Linked DNA regions of Mus musculus: regions 2, 3, 4, 5 and 6 are each reported to be linked to region 1. Evidence: microRNA targets listed by miRTarBase, many of them from high-throughput screens and not tested one by one. Region 1 holds a microRNA gene; each other region holds the end of a gene's coding sequence. Distances are between the middles of the regions.
The links. The annotated mature microRNA mmu-miR-5125 reads UCUGCCUGGGAUUUCCUUGU and lies in region 1 at 1,422-1,441, opposite strand. An mRNA with a match to its seed (bases 2 to 7 or 8) in the 3' UTR can be bound and repressed. Matches are read on the target gene's strand: a 7mer-m8 pairs with bases 2 to 8, a 7mer-A1 pairs with bases 2 to 7 and ends in A, and an 8mer does both.

Region 2: the mRNA of Mrpl19 is a reported target of mmu-miR-5125. Seed matches in the 3' UTR shown: 7mer-A1 at 3,581-3,587 and 7mer-A1 at 1,394-1,400.
Region 3: miRTarBase lists Nol10 as a target of mmu-miR-5125. Seed matches in the 3' UTR shown: 7mer-A1 at 3,425-3,431.
Region 4: miRTarBase lists Ccdc78 as a target of mmu-miR-5125. Seed matches in the 3' UTR shown: 7mer-A1 at 594-600, 7mer-A1 at 600-606 and 8mer at 609-616.
Region 5: miRTarBase lists Mdp1 as a target of mmu-miR-5125. Seed matches in the 3' UTR shown: 7mer-m8 at 3,004-3,010.
Region 6: the mRNA of Wnt2b is a reported target of mmu-miR-5125. Seed matches in the 3' UTR shown: 7mer-A1 at 2,977-2,983, 7mer-m8 at 2,252-2,258 and 7mer-A1 at 2,197-2,203.

Annotation. Positions count from the first base shown.
Region 1 is chr17:23,820,694-23,824,779 of GRCm38, reverse strand. It overlaps Mir5125 (microRNA 5125), which reads right to left and starts at 1,489; the gene lies at 1,411-1,489. Srrm2 (serine/arginine repetitive matrix 2) reads right to left here. Exons shown (of 15, transcript NM_001368687.1): 11 at 3,090-4,086; 12 at 2,080-2,367; 13 at 876-989; 14 at 660-764; 15 at 39-564. The coding sequence ends at 555. Elob (elongin B) reads left to right here. Exons shown (of 4, transcript NM_026305.2): 4 at 1-40.
Region 2 is chr6:81,958,128-81,962,213 of GRCm38, forward strand. Mrpl19 (mitochondrial ribosomal protein L19) reads right to left here. Exons shown (of 5, transcript NM_026490.2): 5 at 1-4,035. The coding sequence ends at 3,814. Gcfc2 (GC-rich sequence DNA binding factor 2) reads left to right here. Exons shown (of 17, transcript NM_177884.3): 17 at 1-971. Among named protein-coding and RNA genes, the nearest start is that of Mrpl19, 5.8 kb to the right of the region's middle.
Region 3 is chr12:17,428,953-17,433,038 of GRCm38, reverse strand. Nol10 (nucleolar protein 10) reads right to left here. Exons shown (of 21, transcript NM_001008421.1): 21 at 2,944-3,924. The coding sequence ends at 3,805. Among named protein-coding and RNA genes, the nearest start is that of Gm36752, 5.5 kb to the left of the region's middle.
Region 4 is chr17:25,789,634-25,793,719 of GRCm38, forward strand. It overlaps Ccdc78 (coiled-coil domain containing 78), which reads left to right. Exons shown (of 13, transcript NM_001165929.1): 11 at 153-219; 12 at 292-392; 13 at 477-880. The coding sequence ends at 579. Antkmt (adenine nucleotide translocase lysine methyltransferase) reads right to left here and starts at 2,761. Exons shown (of 5, transcript NM_145410.4): 1 at 2,420-2,761; 2 at 1,939-2,043; 3 at 1,713-1,853; 4 at 1,300-1,350; 5 at 867-1,145. The coding sequence starts at 2,581. The coding sequence ends at 915.
Region 5 is chr14:55,655,691-55,659,776 of GRCm38, forward strand. Mdp1 (magnesium-dependent phosphatase 1) reads right to left here. Exons shown (of 6, transcript NM_023397.5): 4 at 3,680-3,787; 5 at 3,510-3,595; 6 at 2,199-3,384. The coding sequence ends at 3,293. Among named protein-coding and RNA genes, the nearest start is that of Mdp1, 2.7 kb to the right of the region's middle.
Region 6 is chr3:104,943,116-104,947,193 of GRCm38, forward strand. Wnt2b (wingless-type MMTV integration site family, member 2B) reads right to left here. Exons shown (of 5, transcript NM_009520.3): 5 at 1,690-4,078. The coding sequence ends at 3,856. It also overlaps a transcript of St7l not described here. Among named protein-coding and RNA genes, the nearest start is that of Wnt2b, 17 kb to the right of the region's middle.

The DNA of each region.
Region 1 (4,086 bases):
CACAGAACTCTTAACCCCAAGTAAAGACTACAGACCAATTACTGCATTTCTCATTTTTATTTGACAGAAAAAGTTGCTTTTACTGTACAGATTTTAAAAAACCAAAATGCCTTAAACAAAGTTGGGGGGGAGAGGGCCTCACAACCTTGTAAGGGGGTGCAGCAGGGCCAACCAACTTCAGCTCCTTCCTCTTTCAGGAAAGATTACAACTTACCAAGTTAAACCATCAGTCACCCAAGAATTTAGGGAGCTAACTCCCTGGATCATCACAATCTGAGGCCTAGATGTCCTGAGCTGTGCCCCTCCCTCCCTAGACTCCCTCCCTCCCACTCCAACCCCCAAAACACAAGAACCAGGAAAAACTCACAGAGATCAACATTTCACAGGAACCAAAAAAAAAAAAAAAAAAAAAAAGGGTGGGTGGGAGAGGACGCTCTCCCCTCAAGATGCTGCCAAGGTTCAAGGGAAGGCATACAAAGACTCCTTCCATGATTCTTCTGGGAAAAATGAGGAATACTCATGTCTCCAGAGTATGAGGTGTAGTGGAATCCAGATTATGGAGACCTGGAATAGAGAAGACTGGTCATTCTGGGTCACCACACATATCCCTATCCCTAACTACTAGCTCTCAGAAGGGCCAGACTTCCAAGGAGACACACCTGGAGGAGCGGTGACGATTAGAACGGGGACTAGGTGTCTCCTTCCTCTTGTGACCAGGAGAGTGACTGTCCCCTCGCTGGCCTCTCCAGGAAACTCGCTCACTGCTACAAGAGGAGAAATTAGGTCACAGAACAATACCAAAAACTTTTAAATTTTGCTTACAAATTAATGGTAGCTAGTTGAGTCAGGTTGCTAGCACCTGCTATAGGCCCTACCTCTGTAGATCCCTTGGTGAAGGTTGGGGCGAGGGCTGTCGACGCTCAACGGGTGAGTAACTGAGGGATCGGGAATCCCGAAGGGAGTCTATTGGCTTCCGAGGACTTCGAGACCTAGGAAGCAGAGTAGGCCTCTATAGCTCCACATCCTCCCAAACCCACCAGCCAAGCATTCAGGACCACCCACCCAGGTCCTGACCACCAAACCTCACACCACACAGGGCCAGCCTCAGACCCACCTTTGTCCGCACTCACCCATCCGCCCGCACACCATCCACCGAGTACCCCAGTGGACAGGGCACAGGGTGCAGCGGGGGATGCAAAGATAAAAGAGTCCCTGCCCTTGGAAGAATTTTGTTTGGTAGTAAAGGTTAACAATGAAGGCACACACGCCCCCTACATAGGAAACAGCCCAGCAGGATGGATATGCATGGGCCTGGGGATCCAGAGAAAGGATGGGGACCTGGGCAGGACAGGGAAATGGCAGGGCAGTCTTCTCGGAGGTGCTGTTTGAATGCAGTCTTGCAGAACGAGTTCACCAGGCAGACAAGGAAATCCCAGGCAGAAGGAACAGCATGTCCAAAGGCATGGGGCTCTCCTTAGACTGCAAGGCGCTGGGTATGGCCGGAGCACGGGGCATGTGTGGGGGCGGGCAGGAGGAGCACAGGGCGGGCAAGGGCAGCTGGTGAAGAGCCTCACACGCCATTCCCGCAGAGGTGGCACTTTATCCTGCAGGCCACAGGGCGTTCCGGAAGGATTTGTGGAGTGAAGGGAAGTAACCAGATGTGCGTTTTAGAAAGATCCCTCTGGCTACGTGTGGAAGAGAATGGCGTGGAGGCAGGGAGACAGGGAGGAGGCTGTGGACAGAGTCGGGAGAAGATGACGGTGGCCAGACCAGAGCCCTGCAGCAGCAATGGGGAGACTTAGAGCTAGATCTCTGAGACCAGGCTGCTTGTCAGGGGAGGGGAGAGGGAGGAAGAATCCTATGACTTCCCAGATATGGCCTGGGACACCTCAGTTAGATAGTGCAGCCCTTGACCAGAATACAACACTGTGGGAGGATGGGAGGAGTCCGGCACTCCTTCTCCCGTACAACCAGTCACAGACGTCCACACGAGGCACCCCAGCAGGAACCTCACCCAGGGTCCCCTTTCTGGAGAACTCACCCCAACCCCCCTTCCACAACAGGCAAGAAAGCACTCACCTCCTCTCGCCAGGGGGTGGCTTCTTGGGGCTTGCAGGTTTGGGTAATGCCTGAGGGCCAGGCTTAGCAGGGGAGGGGGAGGAGGAAGAGGAGGAAGAAGAGGAGGAAGAAGAGGAAGAAGAGGAGGAGGAAGATGAGGAGGAGGAGGAAGAGGAAGAAGAGGAAGAGGAGGAGGAGGAGGAGCTGGAACTGGAGCTGCTAGAGCGCCTCTTCCTTTTGGCCGGGGTTGGTTCCTGAGGACGTCCCTCTCTAATAGCCTCCTTTGGGACTGGGGTGGGGCTGGGAACCCTGTGAGAGAAGAAAGGTGTCACAAGGAGACAAGATGCCCCAACCCCAACCCTACCTTCCTTGGCCTGGAGGAACGGCAGTGGGGGAGGGGTGCCTGAGAAAAGCCCTGGGAAAACACGAAGGCAGGCCAGTGAGTAGTACTTCTCTGGAGCAGTGGCACAGAGCTGACCAAACCTCTGCTAACACAAGCAACAGGCTGGGGCCCGAAGCACAAGGGATCAAGGTTAAACCTCAAGAATGTCCCTGATGAAGGATTAAGGCCCCTGGACTCAGATGTGGAAGCTGAAGCTGGGTGATCTCCTTCCTTGGAGAGCCGCAGCTTGGGGAGGCCCCTGTGAGTGCAGGTTGGCTGGGGAGGGGCCGTCCTGCCTGGAGGCAGGGAGAGGGATGGGATGACCTCTGAAGATCCTTCCAGCCCAGGGAGTTCCTCTTGAGGTCTAACTGCCATCCCTCCTGCTGTAAAATTAAGTCCATTTCCTCTAGTTCTGTCCTCTGTAGAGATGGAAAACTTATCATTATCCTCTGGAGAATTAACCTTTGGAGACTTTTATCTGTCCCATTCCTCCCCACAAAGCCCCCGCCCAACATTCTTTCTACTCCCAGCTTGAAGGCCAAGGTCCCCCATACTTTCTCAAAGCCAAGTGCTTTTGACAAGATTTCTCCCTCCCTACTCACCCACCCATTGTTAAGTCCCTGCTCCCTAGATCCCTTAATTGCCTCACCTTTTCAGTGCCACCTCAGGTTGAGCTGGAAGGCTGGAACCCTCTGAATCACTAGAACTGGAGCCAGAGGAAGAGGAGGATGACGATGAAGATGATGAAGAGGAGGAGGAGCTAGATGATGATGAAGAGGAGGAAGAGCTCCGACGTTCCTTAGCTGGTTGCAGAGCAGCCAATGTAGAAGGCTGCTGGGCCCCAGTAGAGGCAGGTGGCTCCCCACCTTCAGCATGGGATATCCCAGGGGCAGGGCCAGAAAGCATGCCATTGTGGTCACTAGCAGAGGATGTGGACTTCGCTACTGTCCCGGATGAAAGGGACTGAGACCCTGCTACAGGAGTGGTCTGGACAACTGAACGAGATTGGTCTGAAAAAGCAGATGGCACAGGGGACCGAGGCCGATCCTGTGCAGGAGGGAGAAGAGATTGCGAAGAAGCCTGAACCATTCTTGAAGCAGGGGAAGGAGCCCGCTCACGCTCAGAGGTCATTCTAGACTGGCTTGGGGCAGATGGTGGTGTTCTGGACCTGGCTCGATCAAGCATTAAAGGTGAGGTTCTGCCACTAACACGATCATAAGCAGAAAGGGGCACCCTGGGACTGGTGAGGTTTGCACCAGACAATGCTGGAGCCATCCTGGAACTGGAGAGATTTGTGGGAGCCAAGCCTGCAGGGGTTCTAGAGCCAGCAATATTCACAGGAGCTGTGCCATGCGCAGATCGAGGACCCACCACCAGGTTTGCGGGGGTTGGAGCCTGGGGTGTTCTGGAACTGGAGGGGTAATTTGCAGCAGTTGGAGGTGTCCCAGAGCCTGTGAGACTCAAAGCTGCTAATGCAGCTGGTGTTCTAGCTCCTGCTAGGTTCACAGCTGAAGCTGCAGGGGTTCGAGGATCTGCAAGGTTCACAGCTGAAGGAGCCACTGCTGTTCTAGGGCTGGCTAAGTTCATAGCTGCAGCAGCAGCTGGTGTTCTTGAGTCAGCAAGGTTCACAGATGCCGGAATAGCAG
Region 2 (4,086 bases), not on the chromosome of region 1:
TTTGCTGGGTGCCCACTTGGGGTGTGGCCAGGCCTCCTGATGCTTCGTAGCTGAGGGAAGTAATGCACAGCAGCAGCCGAGCTCAGTGTGCTGCTCTTTTACTCTCTCAATCCGGAAGGAAATGAAGCAATCTGACACACAGAAGCATGCCTGAATCAAAACCATCTTCAGCAAACTCCAATGTTTGCAGATCAGCTAATGAGGAAGCTCTATCTCTGGATGGTTTCTTTTATCTTATTCTTTGGTGGGGACTCGGTCTCATTCTGAAGTGTAAGGAATTACTTATTAAATAGCTAACACATTTTTATACAAACTGTCCTTTCAAAATCTGTACTGACTTACTGTGTGAAATCAGTGCAAGAGAGTGCCAGTGATCTCCAGATTTTGATTCATTGTCAATTTGTTAAAAAAAAAAAAACTTTGAAAAAAGATTTATTTTTATATGTGTGGTCATGTATGTACCTGGGTGGGTTTAGCACTACCTCCATGTAGGGGCCAGAGGGCATCAGGTCCCCTGGAACTGGAATCCAGGAGGTTGTGGGCCATCTAATGTGCTTGGAACCAAACCCAGGTCCTCAGAAGAGATCTTCACCCTCCCTGTGAAGAATGAAGCTGTGGTCTGAGTCATCTGTAAGTCCTTAAGTGAGGCTTTTTTGCTATGTTTTGTGTAACTCATGGTAGGACTAAAAAGGCCATTGCTCTTTTAAATACAGAAATGTAAAGTATTTCTCTAATTAAGGTAGTCTGAGGCAAGGTGATTAAGAAATTATGAACTTTTCTCAAAATGACTGTATTAATGTTCTTAAGTATATTTGTTAAGCAACTCAATGATGATCCTGTATTTATTTTTCCGTGTTGTCACTTTAGACATTTGCTCGTTACAAAAGCATGTGTATATGTGTGCAGAAAGTTTTGTATATAAATGGCAGAGACTTTATTTTTGCTGTTAAAGGGCACTTTTGGAAACTGTTCTCTGGCCTTGGCTTCTTCGAGATGGACGTGTGGATGGCTGTGCTCTCGGTCATCATCTCTCTTCTTCATGGGATGCAGAGTAGTAAGCTATCGCCTTTAAATTCCATTACGCCTGGCATGTGAGCTTCCAAGCGTCTTTAAAACATATTGTGATGCTAACTCTACTGCCCTTTTAGAGTTCTTACTCGTTCCTCCTGGTCCTGTGAAATGAAGGCGCTGACACAACAGGTGCACACACTCACCTGGTGATTCGTCTCACAGACCCAGTGAGCTGCGGGCCAGCTGGGGCTTCATGAGACCACGACAAAAACTTAAGAACCAGAAACAACAAACTTTCACTGTCCATCTCTGATGGTTTCTTTTGTGGAGACTGGGTCTCATTCTGAAGTGTACGTGACACTGATCTTGGAACCCTCCTGCCTCTGCCTCCCAAGCCTTTGGATTACCACACCTGGAGAGGGGAACTTAAAAGGCCTAACTGCAGAGACACCGTGTTCGTGAGTTAGAAAACTAATTTTAGGTAAAGTCTTATTCTCCTTCAACTGACTCATGAATTTATTGTCAACACTGAAACAGGTTCAGGAAAATGAAGCATACAGGAGAACAGCCTAGGGCCCTTTCTACCCACCCACACAGACAGGTCTATCGGGAGACCTGTGTGTGTCTCAGAGACTGGACAGACTCAGTGGCATTCCCTTCCCAGCACCCACACCAGGTGGCTCACAACCACCTGTAACTCCAGCTCCCGGGGGTCTGATGCAGTCACACAAGCATGCACTTAAATAGAAAAGAGGTACTCAGCATCTAAACTCCAAATAATGGTTCCAGGAAGACAGAAGCAGAGGAGAGAAACTCAGCAGCAAGAGCCAAGTCTCCCAGAACTCGAGTCAGCACTGAGAGGCTTACCCACAGCCCTAAACTAGGTAGATAAATGTACCTGCCCGTGCACCAAGCACAGCACACGTTCTCTGCTGTCCAGTCATGCCCAAGGAGCAGAAACCCGGACGACGCTGGGTTTCTCAATGCAGCACTAAAACTATTCAAGTAGACTCTGTAGCATGGAGACCTCAGAGAAGAGAGAGAGTACAGGCCAGATAGTACAGTCTCTCTCAAGAGTAAAACGTGGCCAACGTGACTGAAAGGACTCCTGAGCCTGATCATGAGGTATATGTATGCCCATGGCGGTCCACACACATGCACATCTCTGGAAACTAGAATAATTAAGGAGTTAGCAGCCAGGAAAATGACACGGAATGCAGAGCAGCTCACCAGAAAAATAGTCCTGAGATCCAGGCTGGCACTGTGATGTTACAAATGGGTTAGCCTTTACTCTGTGAGGCATCCCAGCTTCCCAGCCCATGTTCAGCTGCACTCTGCCCCACTAGAGGGAGTGCTGACCCCCAAAAGCTGAAGCTTGATTCATAGGGAAGATAACACTCTCTGACCATCTTCCTGCTGGACATTCACACCCAGTTCACACAGGCTCTGCCAGGTACCCTGAGGTCTGCTTAGCAGACTTCACTTGGAATTCTACCCATGGAATTCCTCACAAGTGGCTTTTGTAAACTTGGGGGAAATGAAGCCAGAATACAACAACTCAGATTCCCACATTCTTCTTAAAACTGCCATGTAGCAAAACAGGACCCTTTTCTACCAGCTAATGAGCCTGTCAAAACTAGACATTTAACAATGGAGAGATTATCAGGTGGGTTGTGTTAGCTGGGGTTTCATTGCTGTGACGAGACACCACGACTAAGGCAACTCTCATAAGGGACAACATTGAATTAGGGCTGGCTTAACAGTATCAGAGCTTCAGTCCATTAACATCATGGAAGTGTCCAGGCAGACACACGGCTGAGAGTTCTGCATCTTGATCCAACTACAGCTAGGAGAGTCTGACGCTGACCACACTTGAACATGAGACCGCAAAGCCCACCCCCACCGTGACATACTTCATCCAACACGGCCACACTTCCTAACAGTACCACTCCATATGGGCCAAGCATATTCAAACTACCACCTGTGTCATAAGCAGCTGTAACTCCAGTTCCAGGCAGTCTGATACTTCCTGGTCTCTGGAACCATGTACACACATACAGGCCTGGGTGCTAGGAACTAAACGTAGGGCCTCTGCAAGAGTAGCAAGTGCTCTGAACTACTGAGCCACCTCTACAGCTCCTATTCTTACATTTTAACTTGCACACTGTTGTGTGTTTATGGTTTTTTCCCTACTCCTCTTGCTCAGATCCCAGTTCATCTTATTCTGGTGATGCTAACTTCACTGGCTATAGAAAGGGAATGACTGTCAGGTGATTGCTCTTTTGAGAGCAATAAACTGACATGCAGACTTTATGCTAGGTACCGAAAAGTGAGGAATGCTCATTTAATCACTATGTCCTTACAAAGCAAACTTAATGGCTTTCAAACCAAAGAGCTAATACATTAACCAAAGGCATTCTCAGAACAAGGGCTTAAAAGAAAGATACTTTTTTTTTTTTTTTTTTTTTTTTTTTTGGTTTGTCAAGACAGGGTTTCTCTGTATAGCCCTGGCTGTCCTGGACCTCACTTTGTAGACCAGGCTGGCCTCGAACTCAGAAATCCGCCTGCCTCTGCCTCCCGAGTGCTGGGATTAAAGGCATGCGCCACCACACCCGGCAGAAAGATACTTTTAAGTGTGTGTGTAATTGCAGTACACATACGCAAGGATGTGCAGTAGAAGCCAAAGGGCAACTTTTAGGAGTTGTTACTCGCCTTCCGCCCTGGGTTCCAGAGTCAAGTTCAGGGCATCAGGCCTGAGCCAACAGGCATGTTTACCTGTTGAGCCATTCACTAGTCCCAGGATCAAGACTTCTTCGATGCTTCTATTTCTTCCCACAATGCAGCTTCAATTTTTGAAGTGTCATATTCTCTCATCATATCAAACTCAATCCATGGCTTGTTCCACTTCTGGGCTTCCTTCATTTGCTCTTCAGTTAAAGCAAGGTCAAATCTGATTCCCTTAATGTTGAAGTTTGGACGTTCCCAGCGTTTGGACCACGGCTTTGGCTTCATTTTAACTTTCAGCTTAGCAAAACAAAAACAGGAATTGTGGGCTGGTGAGGTGCACACAAAAGT
Region 3 (4,086 bases), not on the chromosome of region 1:
CTTAGGCATAAAGGTTAAAGTCTGACATTAAGTAGAAAGTTGAACTGATAAGTGGATATTAGCCCAGAAACTTAGGATACCCACGATATAAGTTACAATTTGCAAAACACATGAAACTCAAGAAGAACGAAGACCAAAGTGTGGACACTTTGCCCCTTTTTAGAATTGGGAACAAAACACCCATGGAAGGAGTTACAGAGACAAAGTTTGGAGCTGAGACAAAAGGATGGACCATCTAGAGACTGCCATATCTGGGGACCCATCCCATAATCAGCCTCCAAAAGCCGACACCATTGCATACACTAGCAAGATTGTGCTGCTAGGACCCTGATATAGCTGTCTCTTGTGAGGCTATGCTGGTGCCTGGCAAACACCTAAGTGGATGCTCACAGTCAGCTATTGGACGGATCACAGGGCCCCCAATGGAGGAGCTAGAGAAAGCACCCAAGGAGCTAAAGAGATCTGCAACCCTATAGGTGGAACAACATTATGAACGAACCAGTTCCCCAGAGCTCGTGTCTCTAGCTGCATATGTATCAAAAGATGGCCTAGTTGGCCATCACTGGAAAGAGAGGCCCATTGGACTTGCAAACTTTCTATGCCCCAGTACAGGGGAACGCCAGGGCCAAAAAGTGGGAGTGGGTGGGTAGGGGGGTGGGGGGAGGGTATGGGGGACTTTTGGGATAGCATTGGAAATGTAAATGAGGAAAATACCTAATTAAAAAAAAAGTAGAAAGTTGAATGTTCAATTCCATCCCACTCAGTCATTTGTGACAGGGCAGGAGAACACAGCGTTCCTCTAGCTTGTCTTCTTGCTGAGGCCACTTTAGGTTTAACTAGAATTTGCTCTCCTCCATGGAGAATCCTGTGGGAAATAATTACCAACTCTAAGAGGTCAAGATGCTCCAGCTAATTTACCTTGGCTTCTGTTATACTGCTTGCTTGTACAGCTCTTTCCCTGCAGCTGCCAAGTGAGATACCAGGATGTGGTTTTGCCTTAAAAACCCCTTATGCTAAAAGCTTGGTGCTGTACTGGGCCTCAAAGACCTGAGTGCAGTCACCATTGGCAGCTATGGACTACGTCTGAGTGGTTTTCTCTGGTGGGCACCCCATAACGGCTTAAATAAACATTGCATGATGTGGTAGGCATTGTTCGAGAGATTAAGATACACAGCTACAAACAAAACATACTGATTAAAACATTCCCCCTAGTCCTTATTGAGTTGGCATTCTGGAAACAGGAGCTGACACTGGACAAGCTAGCTGAGAACTCACCGTGAGCACGTTGCACACTGCTGGGGCATGCTGGTCTACTCGACTGTTCCCCATCCATTCTTGTGTGTACCCGACACTTTCCATAGTAAGGTTCTAAATTTATGCTATACTTATTTGTGTGTGTGCACATGTGTGTGCATGAGTATATGAGCATGGATACTCATGTATAGGTCAGATATGATTTACTGTATTTGGTTTTCTTCTTCCACTCAAGAAGACTCTGTGGTCCCCGTGGTGACGTTTTGAAAGCATATTAAATGGAGTACCATTTGTAAACACATGCTGACACTGGGATGTGACAATGTAAATGGGGCAGAATTGACCAGACAGGAGAGAAAGTAACTTGAGAGGCCTGGGGGAGCGTGGGGAGCTGAGGGAATGCCCGGAATGTTCTAGAAAGAGGAAGGTCAGTGTGGTGACAGCAAACAAAGGAGTCTGTGCCAGGCAGGGTCCTTCAGGGACTCAGGATGTTACTGGATGAGAAGAGAACCAGGGGAGGATTCTGAGGAAAGGATCTGAACTCAATCTTCTTCCCAGAAGCCCTTCTAAGTCCCGCACCCCTGGGCCTGTATTTTCTGCTGTCTGCCCTGTGTTAATCCTGCCCCTCCCAGCATGTCTGCTTCCTTCAAAGGTTACTGATGAAAATACTTGAAACAGAAGATTTAGGCATTGGGATTGGGATACTAAAGCTTTGAGAGGGATCTGGAGCAGAAGAGCACACATCACTCAGGAACCCCAGTCCTCCAGGGCCTGGTGCCCAGCTTTGGTGCTACACTTCTCACACTAGCTCCTAAGTCTCACCGGGAAGGACAGCTGCTGGCAGGACTGGACAAAGCCACATCCTAGTGCTGGTAACGAGCAATCACAGGTTAGGGTTTGAGCCTGAAATGTCTCCCACAGGCCTCTAACTTAAACATCTGTCCCCAGATAGTAGTTAGGATGTGTGGGGATGTTCTTTGAGGTGAAGGCTAGCTGGCAGAGGTCAACCACAGGTTGCTCAGACAAGCCCTTTAAGGCCCTGTCTGGGTTTCCATTTCCTGGCCTGTAGTGATGTGAACAGCATCTGCACACCCTGACACCCTCTGAAACTAAGAGCCAAGATGAATCCCTTAAGTCCATATTGATTATTTTGGTGATAGGTGTACAAAAGCAACTGATATAAACACAGAAAAATGACAGAGTGGGATACCAGCATGCACAACAATTTTAAAATGGGAAACTTTGAGAAAGGGAAGAGAGGGCACCAGGGGCTCACAGCCCCAGGAGGGATCTGCTTAATAGTTAATAAAGAGGTAGGAGTGTGTGTGCGCGTGGGTACGTGGGTGCGTGCATGCGCATGTGCAGATTCATGTACCAACAGTCAGAAAGTTCTTGAGTACACATCACAGGCTAAAGAGACAAGGGTCCAACAACACTGACTGCTAACTAATGTGTCCTGCCTTGTGGACTCACCATAGGTACAGCCTAACGAGCTCCCATTCTATTTGTTTACATGAGAAACTCCAAAGTATGGAAGCTAAAGTGAATTTTAAATTTCCACAGGCAGGAGTCTTCCTCAGAGAAAATGTCCAAAGAAAAGCATCTCCTTTTATAGGCGCTGCCTGTATCAAATAGTACTTCATCAGAAAATAACTACGTAATTTTGTGATAAGCTAAACAAATAGCCAGTAGCGTTCACTTATTATTTATTAATTTATACCCTTGATATAAAAATAGCTTAAAAACTATACAAAGGAATATAAGCAAGCCAGTCAGCCTGCCAACATACTCATGCACATAAACAGGGCCACTCAGCAGTCATCATGTGACTCAGTCCTGAGGGGCAGAAGACAGTGGGGACAGACACTCTGGCTGGGCCTGGTGGTGCATCCCTTTAACTTCAGCACTCAGGAGGCAGAGGCAAGTGGATCTCTATGAGTTCAAGGCCACAGATTGAATTCCAGGACACCCAGAGCTACACGGAGAAACCCTGACTCAAGTCTCAAATAAACAAATGACAAAAAAACAAAACAAAACAAAACAAAAAACCCCAAACCATTCTTTTTTTTGGGGGGGGGGGGTTCCAGACAGGTTTTCTCTGTGTAGCTCTGGCTGTCCTGGAACTCACTCTGTAGACCAGGCTGGCCTCGAACTCAGAAATCCGCCTGCCTCTGCCTCCCAAGTGCTGGGATCAAAGGCGTGCGCCACCACGGCTGGGCTAACCCAAGCCATTCTTACAGCATGATAATGTCCTGTTTCCAGTAGAGGGTGAACTTTTCACTTCATGGAGGCCTTTCCAATATCTGAAATGATGCCTGATCATCAGCAGGGGAGAAGACAAGATTTAAGGGGGGCGGGGGAGGGGGAGAGAGAAAGGGGCAGCCACTTGGAAAAAGCACCCAGGGCCAGGGACTTCTCCAGGTGGGTAGTGGGCCAGTCAGACCACCAGCACCATGCACACACATCTACACGGAGCCTGGGTGTGATGCCCTTGTGAGAATCCATGGGGAGAAGCACAGCGTCTAGTTGCTCGTGGGCACATTTCTTTGGTCAGTGAAAGGGCCGGCCTCTTCTGGGTCTGGACCTCAGGTGGCTGGCCGACCTGCGCAGATTTTTCCTTTCCTGACGATGCAGTTTTTCAGCCTCCTGTTGCTTCTTTTGCTGTTCAGACTAAAAGAAAGTGAGGTGAGTAGAGGAAAGGGTCTGCTATAACCCTCAGGGAGGAGCAAAGGCTGCCAGACACACAGTCCTGCGACCAACACTGTGCAGCTCAGCATCACGTCCTGGTGGCGGCAGGAGTTGGACAAAGAACAATTTTCACTGTCAAAGGAG
Region 4 (4,086 bases), 2.0 Mb from region 1:
AAACACTGTGTAGACGAGGGCTCACTGAGCTAGTCAGGGGACTATCCAAGTGCAGATGCTCCGGGGCTCCAGGCAGTGCTATGCTGTCCTAAAACCACGCAGCAAGTATTATGCCTGGCTCGGAGACTGCCCCTCCTACCCTCTCCTCACAGGGCCCTAGACACTGCATCCTGGGCCCAAATCCAGCAGAGGCTGCAGGACTTCTCCCAGGACACTCAGGTAGTAGGGAAGGAGCGGCGGAGACCCCCTACTCTACCTCCTACCATGGCTCATAACTCATGCCTCCACCAGGCAGAGCTAGAACGGGAACGGGCACAGCTGATGGTCCGGGCCACCATGGCAGAGCAGCAGCTTTCTGAGCTACAGGAGTATGTGGACCAGCACTTGGGCAGGTAGGCTGGATGTGGCTCCAGGGTCCTAATCTGGTGGAAAGAAAAGAATCCATGGCCAGACAAGTGATTTATCATTCCAATCAGGTACAAGCAGGAAATCTTGAAACTGAGGAAGTTGGTGAATATTGGAGATCCCCAAGGAGTAGAAGCTGTATCTTCGCCGGGTAGTGGTGGCGCACGACTTTAATCCCAGCACTCCGGAGGCAGAGGCAGAGGCAGGCAGATTTCTGAGTTCGAGGCCAGCCTGGTCTACAGAGTGAGCTCCAGAACAGCCAGGGCTATACAGAGAAACCCTGTCTCAAAAAAAAAAAAAAAAAAAAAAAAAAAGCTGTATCTTCCACTAGGCCTCAGCGCCCAAGGACTCAGAGTCACTAGCTAGTCTCCCAGAAAAATCTCAAAAGAAATCTCTTTACAGCCAGCATGGAACCCTCTGGACACCCTGCCCCAGGAAGTGATTCCTGGAACAAACAAAAGTCAGGATTGAACCCACAGAGTCTTTATTTTATCCAGTCAGCCAGTTTGTCAAACAGGGGCTCTAGGGACTAAGGTAGAACTGGACTCTGGGATGGCCTTGATGGGCACCCCACAAGAAGACACAGTTGGCCCAGAACCATGGACATCATAGGCCCAAACTCTGTCAGTGCCCTCGCCCACCACAGCTACAGGCTGCCAGGTGGGAAGGGGGAATCGTCCAGATACCACACGGGCCCCCACAGGGAGCTCTGCTTGCAGTTTGTCCTCCAGCAGTTGGAGCTGTAGGAAAGAACAGGAGGGAAAAGAACACAGGAGCAGGTCAGAAAAAGCTGCCCCATCCAGCTGAGCCCAGAACATATTCCAGGCCCGAGAGCATCCAAGAGCCAAGACTGTGGCCCTGATCTCCCAGCAGGACAACAGACCCAAAACCTACCACACTGGGAGCCAGGAACACAGACACGTTGTGACAGTCCCTGAGGCTCACCTGTAGAAAACAAGGGTAAAGGCTGGAGGGCATGCAGTCCCCAAGGTAGGGCCTCTAGCCCACCCAGATATCCACATAATAGCCACTCAGAGCATGAAACTTGGGAGATAAAGATATCAGGAGCTGGAGGTGTGCCTCAGGTGGCAGAGTGCTTGCCTAGCATACACATATCCCTGGGTTTAATCTCCAGTTCTGCATAAACTAGGTCTGATGCCTATAATCCAAGGCTAGTTTGAGATAAGCCTGGACACACATCTCAAAAAAAAAAAAAAAATGAAAGGAAGAGGGAGGGTAAAGAAAATCAAGTTTGGAAAGAAAGAGAGTGGGAGGGGGAGGGAGGGGTATCAAGTTTGGTAGGGTACCTTCCAGAGATCTTTTCGATGGTAGCAGACACTCGCAGAACAACCGGCTCTCCAGGCATGCAGCCGTGCAAGTCCCACAAGCCACGGGTTCAGCTCATATCCCATAGCTGGACGGAGACCACATTGGTGGGCCGCCAGCACCTATGGGAGCCAAGAGTGTGGGATCTGGATGAAGGGAATGGGGCCACCACCAGAGGGACAACGAATATATAGACACAGGTCTTACGATCCTGCCATCACCAGAGCCTAGATCCACCATTTTTCCAGGGCGGCCTCGCAACAGTGACAGCACGTTCTCAACCTGCCGGGCACTCGCGCCAACGTAGGGCACCTGAATAAGGAATTTGGTGGGCTGAGGCTAGAAATCACACAGGCAGAAGCACCAGTTTGGGGGCCGATGGGAGCCTACTAGATTTCCTTTCTTAAATTGATACCATCCAGTGAGCCCCGCCCACTCTCCAGTCATAGGCCCGTACCCCCTAAGTAACTCAATCCCAGCTTCATTCATTTAGACTTGGTCTTGACGAAAGACCCAGGCTCCGCAACTTCCTGGTCCCAACTCTCCGTACATCGGGTTCCCGGGTTAGGTCCCGCGCCATAATTGATTCCGCCCATCTTTACGCTACCTACAGTAGCCTTGACCCCACCCATGGAACCTTGGCTTGCACCAGTATTGGCCCCTTTCCTTCCAAGGTTCAACGCTGCACCTGCAGCCTCAGAGGCACCCGGCGGAAGCCCGGCTGCAGCAGCAGCGCCCATATAGTATAGACGGCCAATCCCGAGCCTGCCGCCGCTTGCACTATCTCCAGCAAGCCCAGCCGCTTCTCGCGTAGCTCAGTCAACGCTTCGGCTGGGTCGTCCTGATCCATGATTGACAGACACTCAGTTCCAGGTCCTACTTCCCAAGGCTCCCGGCCGGTAATGGAAGCGGTTGCCCTCCCCGCTGCCCCCAGCCTGAGCCAAACTCTATCCGCTTGCAGCGTACGCCAGCCAACCGCAGCCGCAACTGCAGAAATCTAAGTATCCGCTGCGATCAGTCGCCGGAAGTGGAAGAGGCCTCCGAGGCCAGTCCGACATTCATTCTTTTCCGCCCAGCCATCCGGGGGACCCTCCTTGGGTTCCGGGTGATGGTTTGGGGTAGCGATGACCCAGGCGATGGGCGAGAATGACAGGGTTTGCCACGAGTGGGTCTACGGTCCGAGACATACAGCGGTCAGCTTCAGGGTCCACTTTACAGACAACCACATGGAATGGAATCTGTTCTAAATCCCCCTGAGGCTGTACTGCTGGCCGGCAGCCTCGGGTTATAGCCAGGGTCTATAACTGAAAGGCACTCTCACGCAAATTCTGTTGATCAAGACAAGAAATGACTGAAAGCCTACCAAAAATCCAGAAGCAAACCACAGAGGACGTCCTTCCAGCCGCCCCTCCCCCTCTTCCGCGACAATAATTAGGCGGGAAACAGAGAGTATTCTGGGGTCGAAGGAGAGGGGCGGGCAGCTAGAGACAGATGTTGGCTCTCTAGTGAGTACGGAGGGAGGGGGCCGGATGTGAGCGACTGGGTGCTGGCAAAGGGCCCAGCCTAGGGTGGAAGACAGCCCAGGAGTCCGGAAGATCTCCTTCTTTCAAAAATAAAGGGTTGAGTGACTCTTAGTAAGGCCCTGCATGGAAACAGATAGAGCCTTGAGTCAAGCTGCTGGACCCCGACCACCCACATCAAGGCTAACTGTCTGAGAATGGTAGATCTTCCCTGACTATGCTCACTCATGGCCTCTTCGGCTATCCCTAGCATAGACGGTGATGGCTTCCAAACTGAACATGCCCAATACCACCACCCTATCGCCCAGGCACAGAGTGTTACCCTCCAAAACCATCTGCAGGACAGGTGTCGCAAGACAGCATGTATTCTGTGTACATGTATTCTGCAGAGAGGCTCTGCTCCATCCAGCTCAGAACCTGGCCACCGGAAGATTTATACCAGAGCCCTCCCACACACTGAATTCTAGACAGGGTTGCTTGGACATAGCTATTCCTGTCTGCTGCTCCTGGCAGTACTCTAAGACCAAGAGCACCCAGGAAGCCCTGGCAACTTGACCTGACATTGGCACCCACACTCTGCTCCTCAGCTGCCAGGGCTCTACTTGGAGGTGTCTCTGCTCCTCGCAAGGCTTTCCCAGGCTAGCTCCTGTGATTTGGGTCCTGCTTATACACACCATCCTCCTTGCTGTCTCTGTCTCTACTGTTTGGAGTCTTCACCACCTGTTCCCTAGAGCAGACTTGAGGCCACTGGACCAGCCTTCCCCTACCAGATGGAAAGACAAGGGTCTAAATCCTTAGCACTCCATGGAGCTTGGGGAGAAGAGAAGTAGTAGCA
Region 5 (4,086 bases), not on the chromosome of region 1:
CATCTCCAAGACCCACAGAGTGAGAAATGGCACCCGAGATCTCCTGGGCCAGCTCCTGTTGTTCTGTGATGTTAGCTATCAGTCCCTCTGCCTTTCCAACGTCATTAAGAACAGGATACACTGCCAAGGAATCAGAGGGCGCTCTTCCCTCAGCCTCCCTTCCCTGAAGCCCCTAGCCACCATTGGCTTTCTCACCTCACACCATCAAGTCCTTCCATCATATAGCCTCACATTGGATTTTATACTTTCTTCCCTAAAGAAGCTTTAAAAATGAATCGTTTTTGCTTAGAATACCCTGACTAGCAAAAGGATCTTTCATGAAGAAAGCAAGGTTTCTAATCATTAAAGACATGTGTATATTTTGAGAAGTTTAAGAAATTCGAAGTGCAAGCTGGAGAGAAGGCTTAGTTGTTAAGAGCACTTATTGTTCTCCTAGAGGACACAGGTTTGGTTCCCACCATCTCATCTTTGATGCAGTGAGCATCCCACATGAGATATAGTGATTCTACATGAGATGCAGGAACCATCCCACCTGAGATGTAGTGACCATCCCAACTGTGATGCAGTTACTATCCCACATGAGATGCAGGGACCATCATCCCACATGAGACAGCTCACATTGCCTGTTAACTCCAGCTCTGGGGCACCCAAGACCCTCCTCTGATTTCTGTGGACACCCACACATGTGGCATAAACACACAGAGACATACACAAAAATAAAAGAAATTGAAAACAAACAAAAAAAATCTCAGAAGACAGAGAGGCTGGGAGATCTCTGAGTTTAAGGCCAGCCTGGTCTACATAGTAAGTTCTAGAACAACCAGGGGTACCAAGTCCCTGTATCAAAAACAAAACAAAAGAACACATACAAAACAAAACCAAAAAGGCCGGGCGATGGTGGCTCACGCCTTTGATCCCAGCACTTGGGAGGCAGAGGCGGGTGGATTTCTGAGTTCGAGGCCAGCCTGGTCTACAGAGTGAGTTCCAGGACAGCCAGGGCTACACAGAGAAACCCTGTCTCAAAACAAAACAAAACAAAACCAAAAAGAAAAGAGAAAAAACCTTATAGAGGACCCAGCAGTTCCCAACACCACATCTGATAACTCAAAACTACCAGTAACTCCAGTTCTAGTTTCTTGATCAGTATTTTTTCTGTCTCCTCCAGTTTCTGTATTGTTTCTTCAGGAATTAAACCCTCCTTTTCTTCAAGAGTCCAATGGAGCACACCCGTATTGTATGAAGGAAAAGTATTAGCTACCAGTTACTGAGTACACAGTGTATGCTAGGTGTACATTCTAAGTAATTATAATGAACGTGTTGGTGTCACTGGACAAATATGAAGACGAGCACAAAGACTGAAATGTTTTTGTCTGGAGTCATGTTCAGTAGATTAAGTCGTGATCAAAATGTTGTGCTGGGTATGGTGGCACATACCTAAAAATACCAACACTTGAAAGGCTGCTACAAGAGGATAGCTGTAAGTTTGAGGCCAGTCTGACCTTCACATGAGTCCAGGTCAGCCAGGACTATATATAGCAAAATCCTGACTCAAAAGAGGAAAATAAAAGAAGCAAGCAGACTCCAAAGCCCATGTTCTTTGGCACCTTCTTAGTTTCATTTTAAGTCACATTTGATGACCACTGTCCCACTTGCTGTCTGTCTTGATGTCAAAGATCCTGCTCTACATGATCAAACTAAAGGAAGTTCAAGGGACTGGGGTACAGGGAAGACAATGTACCAGTCTCTCCCCCCATTTCTATAGTGAATAACCTTTGCAAATAAAAGTCTGGTGCCTTCTGCCTGCTTTAAACCCTCCCATCCTCTCTGCATTGCTGACGGGATAATAACCCAAAAATGCTTCTGGAATATACAAGGTCTTTCATGACCTGCTCATCTCGCCATCTACGCTCCTACATCCTTTCCTTTTTACATCCCCCACATCCCCCAAACTCAGAACGGCCAGCTTTCCATAAACTACTGTAATTGGGTATATGTGTCGTGAAGGCTCCTCCCAGGGTTACCTCAGTGTCACACCGGGAAAACGGTAAGCCTTTTTGAACATGGTATCCAGAGCCTACATCTATGCTGCCTTGGTTTTTTGGGATCATCTGTATTGCTGAGTTGCACATTATACTGCCAATGAGTTTTTCTAGACACACCCATATCAGCAGATACAGCTTAAAGAAAATTGTCTTTCCTTTTCACTTTGGATCTCTTTTATTCAAATGAAGTAAGCAACAACATTTTAGAAACGACTGGATACAGCCACCTGGAAAGCAGTCCCCTCAAGCCCATGCATGCCACAGGAGTTAACAATTGTCTCACCACCATCCATTCACACCCCCTGACTCAGTCCAGCTCAAGGCTGACTGGGACAAGGCGGTTGGATAAGGTTGGCCTCTGGCAACAGGGTGCCAGGCTGGGTCAAGGTTTTCAGGCCAGCCTGTCTCCTGGGCCTCTTCTTGCCTGGCTCTTGTTGTTCCCATTCCCTTCTGGCCAGCACCTCCCAGGAGGCCCAATGTCTCCCAGGGTCACACCTCCTAAAGAGTCTGCCGAGTCCAGAGTCCATTCATTGCTCTCTCTCTCCCGCCTCTATCCCTCGGCTTGCCTGCCTTCCTCTAGACTATCACCATTCTGAGAAGGGCCTTGGCCAATCCCTCCAGGATATAGATAGCCATGACATCATCAATCAGGATATAGCGCAATTAAAACCTTGGAGGGACAAAGCCTCGTGCTATGGTTGGCTCATTCCTGAGCTACTCCCTACTACCAGAAAAGGCCGGCCGGCCCCAACCTTATTTCCAAACAGTATTAACTTTTAGTCCCTACAAAGAAATGCACAGCGTTATGGCACCCCACTATTTGAAACCGTTGGAGGAGGTCTCAGGGTGGGTTCCAACACAAGGAAACAACAACCTGGTGCACTCTAATCAGGACACAACTTCAGTTTACATGTTAGAAAAATGGAAACAGACTGGAGAGATGGCTCAGTGGTTAAGAGCACTGCCTGCTCTTCCAGAGGTCCTGAGGTCAATTCCCAGCAACCACATGGTAACTCACAGCCATCTGTAATGGGATCTGATACGATACCCTCTTCTGGTGTGTCTGAAGACAATGACAGTATCATATACATAAATAAATCTTTGTGAAAAAGAAAAGAAAAATGGAAACAACCCATACGGTGGCAGAACCCTGACTGTCACACGTGGACACTTTAATACAAGAGCCCCTGACAAGGCTTTCTTGATTTTAGTTTTACACTGCAGATGAGGCTTATCCACAGGATTGGACCTCAGAGTCCAGCTTGGGCCTTTGCAAATGTCTCTAATCCTTGAGTTAACGTTTGAAGACTCATCCCATCCCGGATGTGAATGCAGGTAACGCCTGGAACAAAGAGCAGTCACATTTTACCACACTTTCAAGGCTCTGCCGTATACTACCCACCCTACACTTACTTTATCTTCTTTTAAGAACTCCCCCCCCCTCACCCCCCAGCAGTGACTCAGTACCAAGTCTGCCAACGTCTATGATATTCCGATTCTCATCATCAAAGAAGACCATCTGAGAGAAAGGAACTCCGGTCTTGTGGTGCAACCTGTGAAGAACAAGGCAGGGGTAACCACTTGTCAAGCTGACTTCTTTTGTAGTCCACTTGCTCCCACACCAGCTGTCTGCCTACCTCTCAAAGTGTGTGACTTTGCTGCCTGGGTAGATTTCCCGCTGAATAAAGTATTTGCCAAGGTCAAAGAGCTCCAGGAGTTGGTTGGCCCCTTGTATCTCACTTGTCCTTAAAAAAAAAAAAAAAAAAAAAAAGGCATTAAATACATGCATTAGGGGAGTGCCAGAGATGCAGGCAAAGTTAGGTATAAGGGGATAAAGGGACAACTTTGCCCTGTTATTCAGTTCCAGAGATTCCGACATAGCTAGCGCTGAACTAATCTTTAGTAATTTAGAAGTACAGAAAGCTAATGATAGAAAAGCAACGAAGGCCGGGCAGTGGATAGCGCATGTCTTTAACCCTAGTAGTTGGGAGGCAGAGGCATGTGGATCTCTGTGAGTTGGAGGCAAGCCTGGTCTACAGATCAA
Region 6 (4,078 bases), not on the chromosome of region 1:
TAGTTTTGAAACATTCCTTGCTTGTAGCTGACCCTGTTGTTGGTGTGACTTCTGGAGGATCTAGCTGCTTATTTTAATTGTTGGGAGAGGTGAGATTATTATAATCCCCATACAACCCAAAAAATGCTGTGGGAGTCTGTTTTGAGTCCACCTTCTGCACATGGGTCCATGTGTGTCCTCAGAGTTATGCTCAGGCTGACAGGAAGGGCAAAGAGTAAAAAAGAAGCATGCCTTTCTTATATTCCAACACTGCTTCGGAGGTGCCCAGCCCCCGCAGTACAGGCAGTTCCCAAGTGGAAGGTGGGGGCAGAGGCCTCCAGCAAGGCCATCAATAACCAGGTGTGTAATGTGAAGCTCGCTGTATTTCATTTCTGCACCCAGGGCCAGCTCTGCAGGGTTGCTTATGGAGCGCTCTGTGTCTGGCACCTCTCTCCACCAGACCCAGGCGCCCAGGGCCCACCGACCTGCCCAGGAATGCACTGCATTGTTCTCTGCTGCTGTAATTTGGCTGCAGGAGCTAAGCAGAATGCCTCCCAGGGATGAGAAACACTCTCCCTGGCCGCGTCCCTTATCCCCAGCTAGCTTGGGCTTCTGCCCTATGACCACTGAGGGCATTTAAATACAAATTTTAGAAAGGTGGGGTGGGGGCGGGAAATCCTGATTATCTGTCTTCTATTAAGCCATGCAGAGACTTATGTCCTGAGTGGGTCTAAGAATTTGGCAAGAGACCTGATGGTTGGTGTTCTCGATAAGGGATGCAAGAGAAAGGGGAAGATAGTTTCCTACAGCAGAGAGGAAGAGAGATGAAGCCTGGAGTGCTCATAAGTTAAATCTCCAAAGCTTTGCACACAGACCCTCAGGACAGTATTTTCTTCTTTTAATCTGAAGTACACTAATGAAGAGCGTGCTCTGATGCCATTGTTCAGAGCTGAAAACTGAAAGCTTCTTTTCTATAGTGCTGAGTTATGGGGTATGGCCAACATTCTTTCTTCCTGTTTGTTTGAGACAGGGTCTTACTCTGCTCTTAAACTAACATGGAACTCACTGCTCATAAACACAGCTATCCTCCTGCATCAGCCTCCCAGAGTGTTGGGATTACAACCATAAGCCATCACCCTGGCTCTTCTATTTAAAAGAAACTGCCTGCAGGCTGTGCAGCCACTTCTCCGAAAAGATCCTATTATCCCTAAAGGATAGAAACAGTACCTTTTAAGTTCACTTTGTATCCAAATAGCTCCTATTGAAATACACTGTCCTAAATGTTTATCAAAAGATAAATGAAGTAAGGGCCAACACGAGAGAAAGGAACTGAGGAAGGAGGTTAAGACACCGCTGGTGGGCAACAAACCTCTACCATCTAGAGACAGAAGAGGAGGCCTTCAGAGCAGACAAGGAGTAGGTAGCAACAGAATTCTGTGGAGTCCCGGCACGGAATAAAGTTCTTGTTTTGTTGCTTGTTCCAAATAAATCAGTTTGTTTGTATAGCGCAGAATGAGCGCCAGTTGTCTAAAGCCAGTTGGAATGCAGAGACAAGCTAAGTTCGGAGGAAAAACTAATTGCTTGGCCACCATTCCTTCTTGGGGCCACACAGCTTCCGTAGCAGGACTCGGATATCTTTTCTCTCACATAAACACCTCACTTTACAAACTTCTCACTCCCTGGACAGCTATTTCTCTCTGAGCCATTTATAAGTGGTTGTATATCTTTATCAGCTAGAATTTGGAGCCCAGGCAAAGGCATGGAGTAATATGAGATGTCACAGATGTCTGCCACAGCTAAGAACCCAAACTCAAAGAGAATACAGCACAAGTAGATTTACCTCAGGCTGGCTCCCCAGTGAAGGCCAATGCCATCACTGATACCGTAACTTGGATGTTCTCGCCCCTGCCCCAAAACTCCTCTCTTCCAAGAGAAGTCCCTCTTCCCCTCCGCCCCCCTCCGTGACCCCACCACTGGCTCATCAGTTATCCCGTTGACTCTACTCTGCGAGGAAGACATTCCCTCCGCCTGACTCACTCAGTCCCGTTTCTCCAGTCATCCCCTCACCACAGACCACAAGGGCCCTGACTAGCTCATGTTTTGTGTTAATGGATGTGAAACCGGAGCAAATCCCCTCACCAAAAGAAAAACCATACTAAACTCTCCCACACAGGTCTCAGCAGGTTACACAAATATTAGTCCTATCATCCAAATAAATCTGCCTCTGTGGCCAGAGCTGTGCCCCCCCACCCCACCCCACCCCAGCCTCCTGCTGCCTGGGCAGAAAGAGGTTGCTCCACAAACATCTGAGAGTACGATTGGATGAAGAGGAACCTGAGAAGAGAGAGAGGAGCTATATCCAGAATTCCTTGTGAAAGCCTTTGAATCTAGTCTGTTGTCTGCCCAGACAGCCCTAAATCAGAAGGTCCCAGAGAAGCAGGAAGTACTTGACCAGTGAGAGTGTTGATGACGTCTATCAGTCGGCTAGAGTTTGGGGCACAGTTAGATCTCAGTTTCACCCTCACTTTACAGATAAGAAAATGGGAGAGGAGAATTTAAAGACCCTGCTGAAAATAAAAAATAGAGAGTAAATAGCTGGGATTAGACCTAAGTCTAACTGTGGATTTCTATACTATTTCTGTTTATCAATAGGGAAGAAGATGACCATTGTCGAGGTCACATAAAACTAGACCATCAAGGTTTGGAACCCCCATGTCACTGTGCCTGCTCTCTTTGAAGGCTCCACTCCTGTGTACCCTCGTTAGGCAACGGTCAGTAGCACAGAGAGAACCTTCCCTGTTTAAGTCGATCGTGGAACGTGCAGTAGTTAACAGTTGGACCTGGTGAATCACAAAATAAAGATTTGCTGGGTAAATGAGAAAGGCCTTATAGGATGTTTGCCACCTCGGCTCCAGCACCAGCTCTCTCTCTATAGCTGCTGCCTTTTGTTCCTACTTCAAAGCTGAAGATCCTCAAGAACTAGCAAAATGCGAGATCTCTGCCTTCCTAGTATACACTGATCCTCATGGAACCCCTGAGATCAGGTGCGCTCACCCTTCCCATGAGTTACCTCCCTTCCTACCGAATCTCCGGAATAGTGGATGTGGGGGAAGTCCCAAGGCCTAGCCAGGCTTTCTATGTCATTCTCTCACAATCCTGTTCCGGGCCTCTAATGGCCTGGTAAGAATTTGACCCACTGCAAGCTGCCTCACTCTGAACAGGCAGCCAGTGAGCAGGCTGCTGCTGTGTGATGTAGGTGGAAAGGGAGGCACAGAGAATGTGTATCTGTAGAGCATTGTGATTTTCCTCCTCACCAAACCACTACTTTATAAGCTGCGTAGAAGCATGATGTGGAGCCTTGTTCAATGTGGCTAACCCATCTAGCTATCTCAGGGTCTCAGCAGAATACTATGGCCTAAGATTGTCTGCCCGTACTGTCTCCAGCAAAGGGACAGGCAGTTTTATCTCTGTCCTATCCTCAGGCAGAGTAGCATCAAACACGGAAGCTACCTCCAGGTTCCCTTCCTGTTGCATACCCAAAGAGGATCAGAAGTCAGTGCAAGCAAAGGGGAGGATGAGCCTTGACTTAGTGCAACTCAAATCACTCTGAAGACAGACCTCTCCTACTCTCCCTTCAAACCTCCAGATGGACCATCAGGGAGTCACTCAGCCTCCTAAATCCATCCCCTATCAACACGTCCCTAGGGCTAAGGAACCAGGCGGCCGGGACATTGGGGTCCCTCCGGATCACTCTCCAGGTCCGTGACAGAAGCCATAGCAGCCCAGGATTGAGGGTAGAGGAAGGTGCGCATGCAAGGGTCTTGTGCTTTTGAGTCAGAGGCTTGAAGTGGAGGGAAGAATGAGGTTTCTGTGTGTTCAGGTCTGGTCCAGCCACTCTGCCTTCTTAGGGGCCTTGCATGTGTGGACATCCACAGTGTTTCTGCACTCCTTGCACCGCACAGCACAGCACCAGTGGAATTTGCACTCACACTGGGTGACGCGGGTGACCCGAGTTGTGTCATACCCTCGGCCACAACACATGATTTCACACCCATCTGTTCCTTTAGAAGTCTTGCTGCAGACGCGGCCTGCGGTACCT